3 linked regions of the Rattus norvegicus genome follow. The protein of the gene in region 2 interacts with the protein of the main gene of each other region in a biochemical or structural test. Links are inferred from orthologs where the notes say so. Each region holds a gene or a part of one and is shown on either strand. Other genes may lie near its edges. The genes, in order: Paip2, Ubr5 and Pck1.

The links.
Region 1: the proteins of Ubr5 (region 2) and Paip2 form a complex in vitro, tested with the Homo sapiens proteins (2 studies listed by BioGRID and IntAct, with this or other methods). The link is inferred for Rattus norvegicus from reciprocal best matches to the Homo sapiens genes UBR5 and PAIP2.
Region 3: the proteins of Ubr5 (region 2) and Pck1 form a complex in vitro, tested with the Homo sapiens proteins (2 studies listed by BioGRID, with this or other methods). The link is inferred for Rattus norvegicus from reciprocal best matches to the Homo sapiens genes UBR5 and PCK1.

The regions. Positions count from the first base shown.
Region 1 is NC_086036.1:27,474,228-27,477,976, forward strand, and holds the start of Paip2 (polyadenylate-binding protein-interacting protein 2), read left to right. Parts: upstream 1-1,050; 5' UTR 1,051-1,109; intron 1,110-3,749. UniProt on the Homo sapiens protein: Acts as a repressor in the regulation of translation initiation of poly(A)-containing mRNAs. Its inhibitory activity on translation is mediated via its action on PABPC1.
Region 2 is NC_086025.1:71,005,191-71,008,839, forward strand, and holds part of Ubr5 (E3 ubiquitin-protein ligase UBR5), read right to left. Parts: intron 2,672-3,649; coding exon 2,516-2,671; intron 2,280-2,515; coding exon 2,166-2,279; intron 737-2,165; coding exon 592-736; intron 1-591. UniProt on the Homo sapiens protein: E3 ubiquitin-protein ligase involved in different protein quality control pathways in the cytoplasm and nucleus. Mainly acts as a ubiquitin chain elongator that extends pre-ubiquitinated substrates.
Region 3 is NC_086021.1:182,347,362-182,351,110, forward strand, and holds the start of Pck1 (phosphoenolpyruvate carboxykinase, cytosolic [GTP]), read left to right. Parts: upstream 1-1,210; 5' UTR 1,211-1,312; intron 1,313-1,484; 5' UTR 1,485-1,525; coding exon 1,526-1,749; intron 1,750-2,121; coding exon 2,122-2,303; intron 2,304-2,863; coding exon 2,864-3,067; intron 3,068-3,335; coding exon 3,336-3,523; intron 3,524-3,749. UniProt on the Homo sapiens protein: Cytosolic phosphoenolpyruvate carboxykinase that catalyzes the reversible decarboxylation and phosphorylation of oxaloacetate (OAA) and acts as the rate-limiting enzyme in gluconeogenesis.

The sequences.
Region 1 (3,749 bases), on a different chromosome or scaffold from region 2:
TTTCATTATGATTTCGATTGCACAGTCAGCCTTCTATCCGGGTCTTTTGTGGCGCGCGAGTGTTGCCGGGATAGCACTTTCTTGCGTTCCTCAGTCAGTCCTTTTTTTTTTACCCTGTTCGGTGCCTTTTCCCCTGCTCCCCGTTTCCCCCCGGCCTCCCCTTTGCCACTTGGGCAACAAAGCTCATTGTTTCTACTCACTATGCGCCTGCGCGTCGCCACGCGCAGGCCCTACTGCTGCGCCTGCGCGTTTCTGCGGATGCTGGGTTTTGGGAGAAAAGGGACTGGCAGGCTGGCGGTGTCCCTGGGGAGCACTCTGTAACGGTCGAACGGCTTGTATCTTTTTCAACCTCTTCCATTTCTTCAACATCCCTACCCCTTTATTTTAAGCTTTATCACGTCCTTCAGATAGGGCCGTTGTTTGGGGGCGCTGGGAACACACAAGGCTTTAGCTAGATAAACTTAAAAGACCCGTTCAATTTTTACGATTTGATACTGGTCCTTTTACCTTTCGTTAATATGTGCTTATTCACCACCACTACCACCTCAGTGAAAGGAAAGAGTAGGATAGTAGGGCTTGTGTTGAGGTTAATTTTTAAAAAGGTGCTGAAGCAGCCTGCTGTAATTTTCTAAATATGTCTAAAAGATTTGGCAGCCCCAAACCCTTGAACGAAGTTGGTTTTCTGTTTGCTGACAGCCTTTGACTCTTATTTCAGTGAACGTTCATTTGTGTATGCTGGCTGAGAGTTTCTTGTATCAAGGTAGCACGTTTTTCACACGTTTCTTTTAGCAGTGGATAGGTGTTGATTCATTTAGTAGCGTCTGAAATTTCAGCTGTGGATTGTTCCAACTAGATAAGTCTATGCAAGGACTTTAATGAGTTCCAGTACCTATTCTGTGGTTCTGGTTTGTTAATGACGGGATATTGAGAACAGTCTCTGTATTAGTGGTCTTGAACAAAACAATTCTCACAAATATGTATCCCAAAGATAGGTAACTTTCAAAAAAAATTATACCCTATTTATCTGTTTCTTTAGGGGATGGGGGGAATGGCGATTCACTGTAATGGTTAAAGGCTGTGCATATTGGTCCTTGAGAACTCAAACCGAGGTAGGTAATTTCTATCCTCTTTGGGACAGAGTAAGTTTATACCAGGTTTTCCCTCCAGTAAACAGTAACTCTTATTCAGGTTTATCCCGTTATAACCCTAGATAGTGTTGCCTCCATTTTAATGGAAATTATACGATGTCCACTGTTAGCAATTTTAATGGGTATTGTGGACGATTGAAGGAGTATTTAATAACCTTTTGGACTTTTCACATCTTTTTATAGTTTATAAAGTATTTTCATATAGCATCGTGTGAAATGGAACAGGTTTATTTTTACCTATTTTAAGTTGAGAAAAGGGATTGGAGAGATGGCTCAGTGGTTAAGAGCACTGACTGCTCTTCCAGAGGTCCTGAGTTCAAATCCCAGCAACCACATGGTGGCTCACAACCATCTGTAATGAGATCTGATGCCGTCTTCTGGTGTATCTAAAGATAGCTATAACATTTATATATAATAAATAAATCTTTAAAGTTGAGAAAACAGGAACATGTTAGGCATTGTTCAAAGTACTTTTATAAATATTAATTAAACTGTGTGGTGGCTGAATTCTGTGAAACTCAGCATTCCTGTGGCTGTTAAAGGGCCTAATGTGGTAGCAAACACCTTTGATCCCAGTACTCAAAAGGCAGAAGCTTCAAGGCCAACCATAGCTACATAGTGAGATCCTGGGGTGGAGGATACTTGAAATATGGCAGGCTCAACTAAAGGACTAAAAGAGTAAATTCTAATTAATTACTTTAATTGGTGCCATTGTACATGGTCAGCTGCCTGAAGGGTTTGAATTAACTCTCTTAATTTTAGTACCTGGTTGCATAAATTAGTGTAGTGTTTCTGATATAGTTGAGCTTTTGATTAAACTGGAGAATTAACATTTTTACCAGTTCACTTTTATAAAGGAGATTAGTGTTATAAACATTAGGGTTATAATTTTTGTTTTGTTGTAGTGCAAAACTAACATTTCCAGCCCTTTGGGGCAAAGTCCTGATAAATTAACCAGACTGCCTACTTCTTTGCTTCCTAAGTAGCTAGGAATTCTAGAGTCTGCCACCACACTGGCAAGTCCTAGCCTTTAATTAGGATTTTTCTGTAACATTGTTGGACTTGTACAGGCATAGGACATGTGGTTTTTAACTTGTATCTTCCTGTAGAGGATTAATTGTTCTAAATGGTTAACTGAGTTTGATTAGATCAAGTTTATAATCCTAGCATTTAGAAAGTTGAGGCTAAGTAAGCACCAGTGCTACATTGCTGTAATCCCAGCACTCGGGAGGTAGAGGCAGAAGCTGTAGGGAAAACACTCACACAGATAAAATTAAGTAATCTTTAAAAAAAAAAAGGTGTATACGTGCGTGCTCTTGTGCGTGCATGTGCACACCTGCTGCAAAGATGAGGGGGTGGAGTAGGAACCAGGGATGATGGTTGTAAGCTACCATGTGGGTGCTAAGGACTGAACTCTACAAGTACTCTCAGCTGCTAGCCACCTCTTCGGCCCTAGGTACTTAAAAAATTACCCATTTTACATGTGAGGAAGGTGAGACTCCGTTTCAATAACTTATTACACAGCTAATAAGAACAAAGCAGACTGATGATGAAACAGCATTTGTGGCTGCTGGTTTTGTTTTTTTGTTTTGTTTTGTTTTTTTTTGTTTTGTTTTGTTTTGTTTTTTCTTCTTTCTTTCTTTTTTTCTGGAGCTGAGGACGGAACCCAGGGCCTTGCGCTTGCTAGGCAAGCGCTCTACCACTGAGCTAAATCCTCAACCCTGCTGCTGCTGTTTTAATCTTATGAGCCAGGCTTAGTATATAACCCCAGCTAACCTGGATCTGCCTCTTGACTGCTAGAATCAAAGGCGTGCTCTAACACTGTCTGCCTAGCTTGTAGCTACTCCCACTTGCTTGCTTGCTTCCCCCCACCCCCTTTGGAAAATAAGTCTTGGCTATATACATAGTAGTATGAACTTTTTAAAGATTATTTTATGTATGTGTATATTTATCTTATGTGTACAACTACGCTGTCTTCATTGGATCCATTACACATGGTTATGGTTGCTGGGAATTGAACTCAGAACCTCTGGAAAAGTAGCCAGTGCTCTTAACTTTTGAGCCATCTCCAGCCCCCAACCCATACCGAACCTTTTAAACTCCAGATTCTCTCATTTCAGTCTCCCTGAAGTTACAGGTTAAGGTTACAGGTGTGCTTCACTGTGTCTGGCTCTTAGAATGTTCTTGTAATTATCTTGTGTCAAACATTATGACAGAAATTTAATGCTTCCCCAAAACTTCTGTGTGGAAAAGACTAATGAAAATATTTTTCTCTTGTGAATCTTATTTTGTTTTTGAGACAAGGTCTTATTTCATATTCCAGGCTGGCCTAGAACTTAATATGTAGTCTGGTATGGCCTCAAACTCAGGGTTTTTCTACCTCAACCCCTTGAGTGCTAGAATTACAGGTAGGCATCACCATGCCTGATAGAATATTTGTTTTTATTTAACTCCTGAAGAAACTGGTAGACTAATAGATAGAGTGCATGTGGGAGGGGGTAATATAAAGAGTGCAGTGCCAAGGAGTAACAGAAGACAAATTAATACCTTTCAGTGCAAATAAACAAAAGAAACAGAAGATAACTCTATTAGAATTTTAAT
Region 2 (3,649 bases):
AAATCTTGGTATAGCTATACTGTTTTCATAATCAATTTCTTATAGCTTTAAATTCTACACTGTCTGAATGTCTAAAAAATAAAAACAACTTTAAGGCAAATCACACACTGAGATAAAGCTTATTTGCAAATGATTATAATCATTTTTTTTCTTTTGCTTCTGGAGTCATGTGAATTTTGTCTTTACAATAAAGTGACCACCCAGTCACAACTCTAGAAACCAAACATTATGTGATCATGTTCTTTGACTATCGGAGGTACAGGAAACATTTATTATTTTTATTACTTTAGCAATAACATCATTTTCCCACCACGAAAAAATTTTACTGTGTTCAAAATTTGTTTGGATGTGAGCACACACACACAGATTTTTTTAGACAGGTTCTCACTATGTATCCAAAGCTGACCTCGAACTTCAGATCCTCCTGCTTTGGCCTCCCATAAGGAACAAAAGAATAGCCTAATTCTAAGTTAACAAAATACTTAATCATACCTTTAAATGTAATGAGAATAAAAACTCAGGCCTGATTGCTTACAGGGCTTGGGAAGAAGACTTGGCTTTTACCTCTCAGAAAGACGTGCAGTTTCCTACCTGACTCATCATTGAAAGACGTGAAACTGATGAGCATCTGCACATTGACTTCACCACAGCCGTTCACCAAAAGTCGGAAATCCTCTGCTGTTAAGTCTTCTAAAGAATTTTTTGGAAGCACATCTAGTAGACCCTTTCTCATTGCCTAGAGAATTTAAATTATTTCTTTTATTGTAAGAAGTACTTTATTTTCCAAGGCATCTGTTTATACTATTAAAACTCAATATCTAATTTTAGCAGCATTCTCTAAAAACATTAGTTCTCTAATGCGAGGAGAAAGAGTAGGGCTGAATTATTGTGACTTTCCTCTTAACAAAGTCAAGAAAGAACAATGGAAAAGTTGAGCACAGCAAACAGGCTGCAGTTCAGAAGTTGCTTAGTGTTCTTACATCCCAGTAGAAAAGGGAAACTACTTTTTAAATTATAACATATTAAATATAATTATATTTAATTATAATTATAAATAACACAGACAGCATATGAGTTAAGCATCACTTCAGTTGGTGAAAGTGCATCCCAGAAAACAATAAAGACAAACCTCCCAGACTCAAACCCAAAATCTATTGGGAAATGTACCACCCAGAGCTATGCTAAGTATCTGGGGTGCATTAATGGTTCGATCTTGGCCTCCTCATTTTGCAGAAGGAAAGCCATGAGCAGAAGTACTAAGTAGCCTGCCAAAGTGCAGCTAGAAAGTAGTCAGGAACTTCATCTCAGTACAACAATTCCCAGCACAAGAATCAGAACCACTCTTGGCTTACAGGAATTTTATCCTGCAAAGGGAAAGCATTAACACCGCAGGAACCATGTGCTGATTCTTCTGAAGGGGCCTGAATGCAGAGCTGGTCCTTGGGTCACTGTCTTGAGGACTTATGTTTGGAATGCCTCTCCACTGCTGTGACTAGGGCAATGACCCTTCTGATAGATAAGCCATGTTATTTGTGCTGACAATATGGTGGAAACATGCTTTCCTCTAAAACTGCAGTAGTGGCAGCTGGCTGTACAGCGAGGAAACACTAATAGGACTAGCCACCAATAAAAACCCTGGGCTGTGACTCTCTGAGGCTTCCCTGAGCAACGTTCGTCGTACATGTGCTGAAGCACTTTATACTGAGTATATTGTCTGTGACAGCCCACATGAAAACATGTACCCTGAAGCTTGTACATGAACCCTTCAGGTTCTACCTAACACAGCCTCCTCCTCTGCTTATGCTGCTGGGGTGTCTTTACGTTTACTAAGTGTAACTGGCTGAAGTCAGTGAATCCTTCTAACTAGGATATTCGTAAGGAGAGGTGGCCATAGGATGACTTAAGAAGTGTATTTAAGTCCTACAAGCCCCCTTTCAACTTTTGCTCACCAGAGCTACTCTTTTTGATTATACAGTTTTTCCAACAGTTATAGCCAAAAGTAAACGAGTACTTAGTCTGAACTCTTGAATTTAGTTGTAAACTCATTTTAAATTTGAAAACTTTGGCCTTTTGCAGAAGAACAGATTACTGGGCTAATTTACCACAATGCAAAAACAAAAAGTTTCACCACATGACATCCATTGAACTTTCTAGAAAATACTTACGTGCAATGGCTGTTCTGCAACCACCAGCATTCTGTGCTCCGCATATTTCCTTACATACTCATATACATTCTGCGGAGTGACTGGTATATTTACACCATTTGGAATAAGTTCAACCTACAAAAAGTTCAGCAGTGACATTTAAAAGCAATTCTGACAAGCAGTAACAGCTCAAGAGAACTTTCTACCTCACTCCTTCTTGATTCTTCTCTCTGTTCTCTCCTACAATGCTCATTTCGGGCATGTGCCTTGTCTCAATCTTTCTCTCTTGGTTCCTGCCCCAAACTGTCCTGTATTTGTCTAACAAATAACCCGATCCTCTCTCGAAGATCAGAAAACTGGGTTTGCTTTACCTGGCCTCCACCCTCTTCTTTACACAGGTCAACTGCAAACGCCAAGTCCATTGCTGAGAAAACAGCATCGGCATCTGAACTCTGAGATGCAAGGATCAGTTGTCGTAAACTCTCATACATCACAGGGTCGAAAAAAGCAAAGTCATGCCAGTTGACCTGGAGAATAATCATAAAAGTCAAGTGAAGCGTCCTTTCTCCATGCAACAGCAAATTAATCTGTAATGGCTTTACCTTTTCGGGGAGGGGAAGTGATAAGGATTGAACCCAGGAACTTGTGCACGCTAAATAAGTGCTCTACTACTGACCTATATCCCGGCCCTAATTTTATTTAACTTACAGGTACAGTGATAAAAGAATTTCCCACAAGATACATAAAACTGCTTTAAAGAGAGAAAAATTAGAAAGTCTTTGGCTTTGACAATTCATTTACTTTTTTTTAAAACAGGAATTAAAAAGTTAACTGCTATGAGGTGAAGCCAACAGCGTGCTTTTGTAGGAGCGGTAGTAACAAAAACAATAATTAGTTTCAAAAATAACTGGAAAAGCCAGCACAACTTATTGAACATTGATCTTGACTAAATATCCCATATGCTCTTGATAGTCACCATATGATACAGGTCACTAAATCCAAGTGACAAACTGGACTGTTCTAAGAAACTTGGTAACTTACAAAGCTCACATCACCAAGTTAAACTGAGGTCTAGCAGATCTCATGAGCTAAAGGGTCAACATATGAGTATTTGCATGTTTGAGAGCTTTGGTTTTCAAATTCTATGCATAAGAGCATTTAAACTTAAATTTGGTCTCGGCTAAAAAGGAAAATACATACTTCTCACTAAAATATCCTTATTTCTGATATATTCAGTGGTTTGGTTAAAAGCAATTAATTTGGTACTATTAATGTGATCACGTATCTTGGGATGAAGAGTGACAGGCTTCTGGAGTTATTTTGTGGAATGGATATGGTGTAACCATTTAACTGTGTTCTAAAGATTGTACGTTTAGTGCTGCTGTCGACTTTGTCGGAAGGGTTTTGTAGCCGTCAGTGTGACGGAAGACTCACCTGGTCAAAGTACAAGGATAACTGCTGAATGTCCAGCTATAAATAAATGAGAGATCTCTACCACCCTACCC
Region 3 (3,749 bases), on a different chromosome or scaffold from region 2:
CACAGAGTTTCTGTCACATCATCCTCCTGCCTACAGGGAAGTAGGCCATGTCCCTGCCCCCTACTCTGAGCCCAGCTGTGGGAGCCAGCCCTGCCCAATGGGCTCTCTCTGATTGACTTCTCACTCACTTCTAAACTCCAGTGAGCAACTTCTCTCGGCTCGTTCAATTGGCGTGAAGGTCTGTGTCTTGCAGAGAAGGTTCTTCACAACTGGGATAAAGGTCTCGCTGCTCAAGTGTAGCCCAGTAGAACTGCCAAGCCCCTTCCCCTCCTCTCCCTAGACTCTTGGATGCAAGAAGAATCCAGGCAGCTCCAAGGGTGATTGTGTCCAACCTAGAATGTCTTGAAAAAGACATTAAGGGGACTAGAGAAGACAGGGGATCCAACGGTTCTCTGCAGCCCAGCCTGACTGACATGTAACTCTTCTGGTTCTCACCAGCCAGCTGGACCTGCTTAGTATTCTTTCTGCCTCAGTTTCCCAGCCTGTACCCAGGGCTGTCATAGTTCCATTTCAGGCAGTAGTAATGAATGAGCTGACATAAAACATTTAGAGCAGGGGTCAGTATGTATATAGAGTGATTATTCTATATCAGGCATTGCCTCCTCGGAATGAAGCTTACAATCACCCCTCCCTCTGCAGTTCATCTTGGGGTGGCCAGAGGATCCAGCAGACACCTAGTGGGGTAACACACCCCAGCCAACTCGGCTGTTGCAGACTTTGTCTAGAAGTTTCACGTCTCAGAGCTGAATTCCCTTCTCATGACCTTTGGCCGTGGGAGTGACACCTCACAGCTGTGGTGTTTTGACAACCAGCAGCCACTGGCACACAAAATGTGCAGCCAGCAGCATATGAAGTCCAAGAGGCGTCCCGGCCAGCCCTGTCCTTGACCCCCACCTGACAATTAAGGCAAGAGCCTATAGTTTGCATCAGCAACAGTCACGGTCAAAGTTTAGTCAATCAAACGTTGTGTAAGGACTCAACTATGGCTGACACGGGGGCCTGAGGCCTCCCAACATTCATTAACAACAGCAAGTTCAATCATTATCTCCCCAAAGTTTATTGTGTTAGGTCAGTTCCAAACCGTGCTGACCATGGCTATGATCCAAAGGCCGGCCCCTTACGTCAGAGGCGAGCCTCCAGGTCCAGCTGAGGGGCAGGGCTGTCCTCCCTTCTGTATACTATTTAAAGCGAGGAGGGCTAGCTACCAAGCACGGTTGGCCTTCCCTCTGGGAACACACCCTTGGCCAACAGGGGAAATCCGGCGAGACGCTCTGAGATCTCTGATCCAGACCTTCCAAAAGGAGGAAGAAAGGTAGGCAGGGCCATTCCACTCTCCTCTCCAAAAGTACCACTGAGGGGTCCACTCACAGTCTTTGCCCTGACAACCAAGGCCCTCTAGCCATGTGCAACTCATGCAAAGTCTACAGAAGGAACGGGAAGGGCCCATGGGTGCCGGTGTTCAAGAGCCTCTCTTTTTGTTTCAGGTGGCACCAGAGTCCCTGCCTCTCTCCACACCATTGCAAGAATGCCTCCTCAGCTGCATAATGGTCTGGACTTCTCTGCCAAGGTCATCCAGGGCAGCCTCGACAGCCTGCCCCAGGAAGTGAGGAAGTTTGTGGAAGGCAATGCCCAGCTGTGCCAGCCAGAGTATATTCACATCTGCGACGGCTCCGAGGAGGAGTACGGGCGGCTGCTGGCCCACATGCAGGAGGAGGGTGTCATCCGCAAGCTGAAGAAATATGACAACTGGTGAGTCCCTTCAGCCCAAAGTCTCTGGCCTACAGGCTCCTCAGCTCTACCTTCTCGGAGTCTGGAGAATAAAGACCCTTGCAGTAGCAAACGCCTGAGAAGCTTAGGAGATCAGTCAGAATCCAGACACCCTGTGAGGTTAGCATAGCCAGCTTCTAGATTCCAGATAGCCATGCAAGGCGGCCCCTTTCCCTAGGGCCAGCTCATGGCTTAGCAAATGTCTACCTGGTCAAGTTCCCGTTGGCTTGGCTTCCATACCTAAGTAACACGGTCAACGTCCTTGTGTCTGCAAGGCCGGGAAGAGCCTGAGGTAGGCAAGAGAGGTACATCCCCAAGGGTACCTTGCTGAAGGCATCCCTGTGACTTTTTCAGTTGGCTGGCTCTCACTGACCCCAGGGATGTGGCCAGGATCGAAAGCAAGACGGTCATCATTACCCAAGAGCAGAGAGACACCGTGCCCATCCCCAAAAGTGGGCAGAGCCAGCTGGGCCGCTGGATGTCAGAAGAGGACTTCGAGAAAGCATTCAACGCCAGGTTCCCGGGGTGCATGAAAGGTGGGTGAGGCCAGACCCCAGGCCTGACAGTGTGCTGTGTGCACAGTTCACGCTCCCGGTGGTGGCTTGAGCTGCAAAGGGTGGCCCGCGTGCGAAGCTCGCCGTCTGGTTCTGTCTCACGGAATATCAAATTGTTCTCTGAGAGTACGGGTGGCTCCGACCTGTCATCTCAGACATGGAAGCTGAGGCAGGGGCATTCAAAGTTTAAGGCCAGCCTGAGCACTTTACAGCTTGGTCTCAAAAGAAACAGTCTCCACGGTGGGGTGTTTGCCTAGAATTTCCAAGGCCCTGGCTCCAATCCTTAATGTCAAATAGATAAAGCAGAAAACACACACACACAAAATGCTTCCCATTCATGTGGACGTAAAGCAGCTAAATTCAGCCAAACAGGGGGGCTGTGAAAAGTTTAATTTCAGCATTTTGCTGTTTCTACTGGTCTCTGAAACCAGAGGCTGGTGGCCAGTAGGGCATGGTGTGGAAGACGTAGCTGGAAGATGAGTCAAGGAAGCTCAGAGGGCCTCCTTGGCTTCTTACCTATTTCTACCCATCCACCTCTGCAGGCCGCACCATGTATGTCATCCCATTCAGCATGGGGCCGCTGGGCTCACCTCTGGCCAAGATTGGTATTGAGCTGACAGACTCGCCCTATGTGGTGGCCAGCATGCGGATCATGACACGGATGGGGACCTCTGTGCTGGAGGCCCTGGGCGATGGGGAGTTTATCAAGTGCCTCCACTCCGTGGGGTGCCCTCTCCCCTTAAAAAGTAAGTACCTCCTTTCCAGATCAAAAGGGAAGAGTTCGGGGAAGGGCTTAGTGGGTAGGATGCTCACCCAGGGTGCAAGAGGCCCCGAGTTTGATGCCGGACACCAAATCAACTGATCATGCTGGGACAGGCCTATCACCCCGGCACTCAGGAGTCAGAAGGATCAGTTCCAGGTCCCTCTCAGCTCCGTAGCTGGTTCGAGGCCAGCCTGGAGACTTGGGCAGGGATGTGTGTATCGCAAGCTCACGACTGCTTTGCTTGTTTTCAGAGCCTTTGGTCAACAACTGGGCCTGCAACCCCGAGCTGACCCTGATTGCTCACCTCCCGGACCGCAGAGAGATCATCTCCTTCGGAAGCGGATACGGTGGGAACTCACTGCTTGGGAAGAAATGCTTTGCGCTGCGGATCGCCAGCAGGCTGGCTAAGGAGGAAGGGTGGCTGGCGGAGCACATGCTGGTACGTGGTCGTCGGGGAATCCTGGGCGGGAAATTCGGAGGGCCTGGGGTGGCAAAGGTGGGCCATGTCGAGATTCCCCAACCTCTGAGGACTTAAGGGCAGATTGGAGTCAACGCCGAGGTGACTCTAAGTACCCCCAGCGTTCGTCTCTTGGGAAGGGGCTCAGACACACTAGAGCAACACTGACAGTGGGAATTTTATTCCTCTGCACCCCATCAGTTTACCC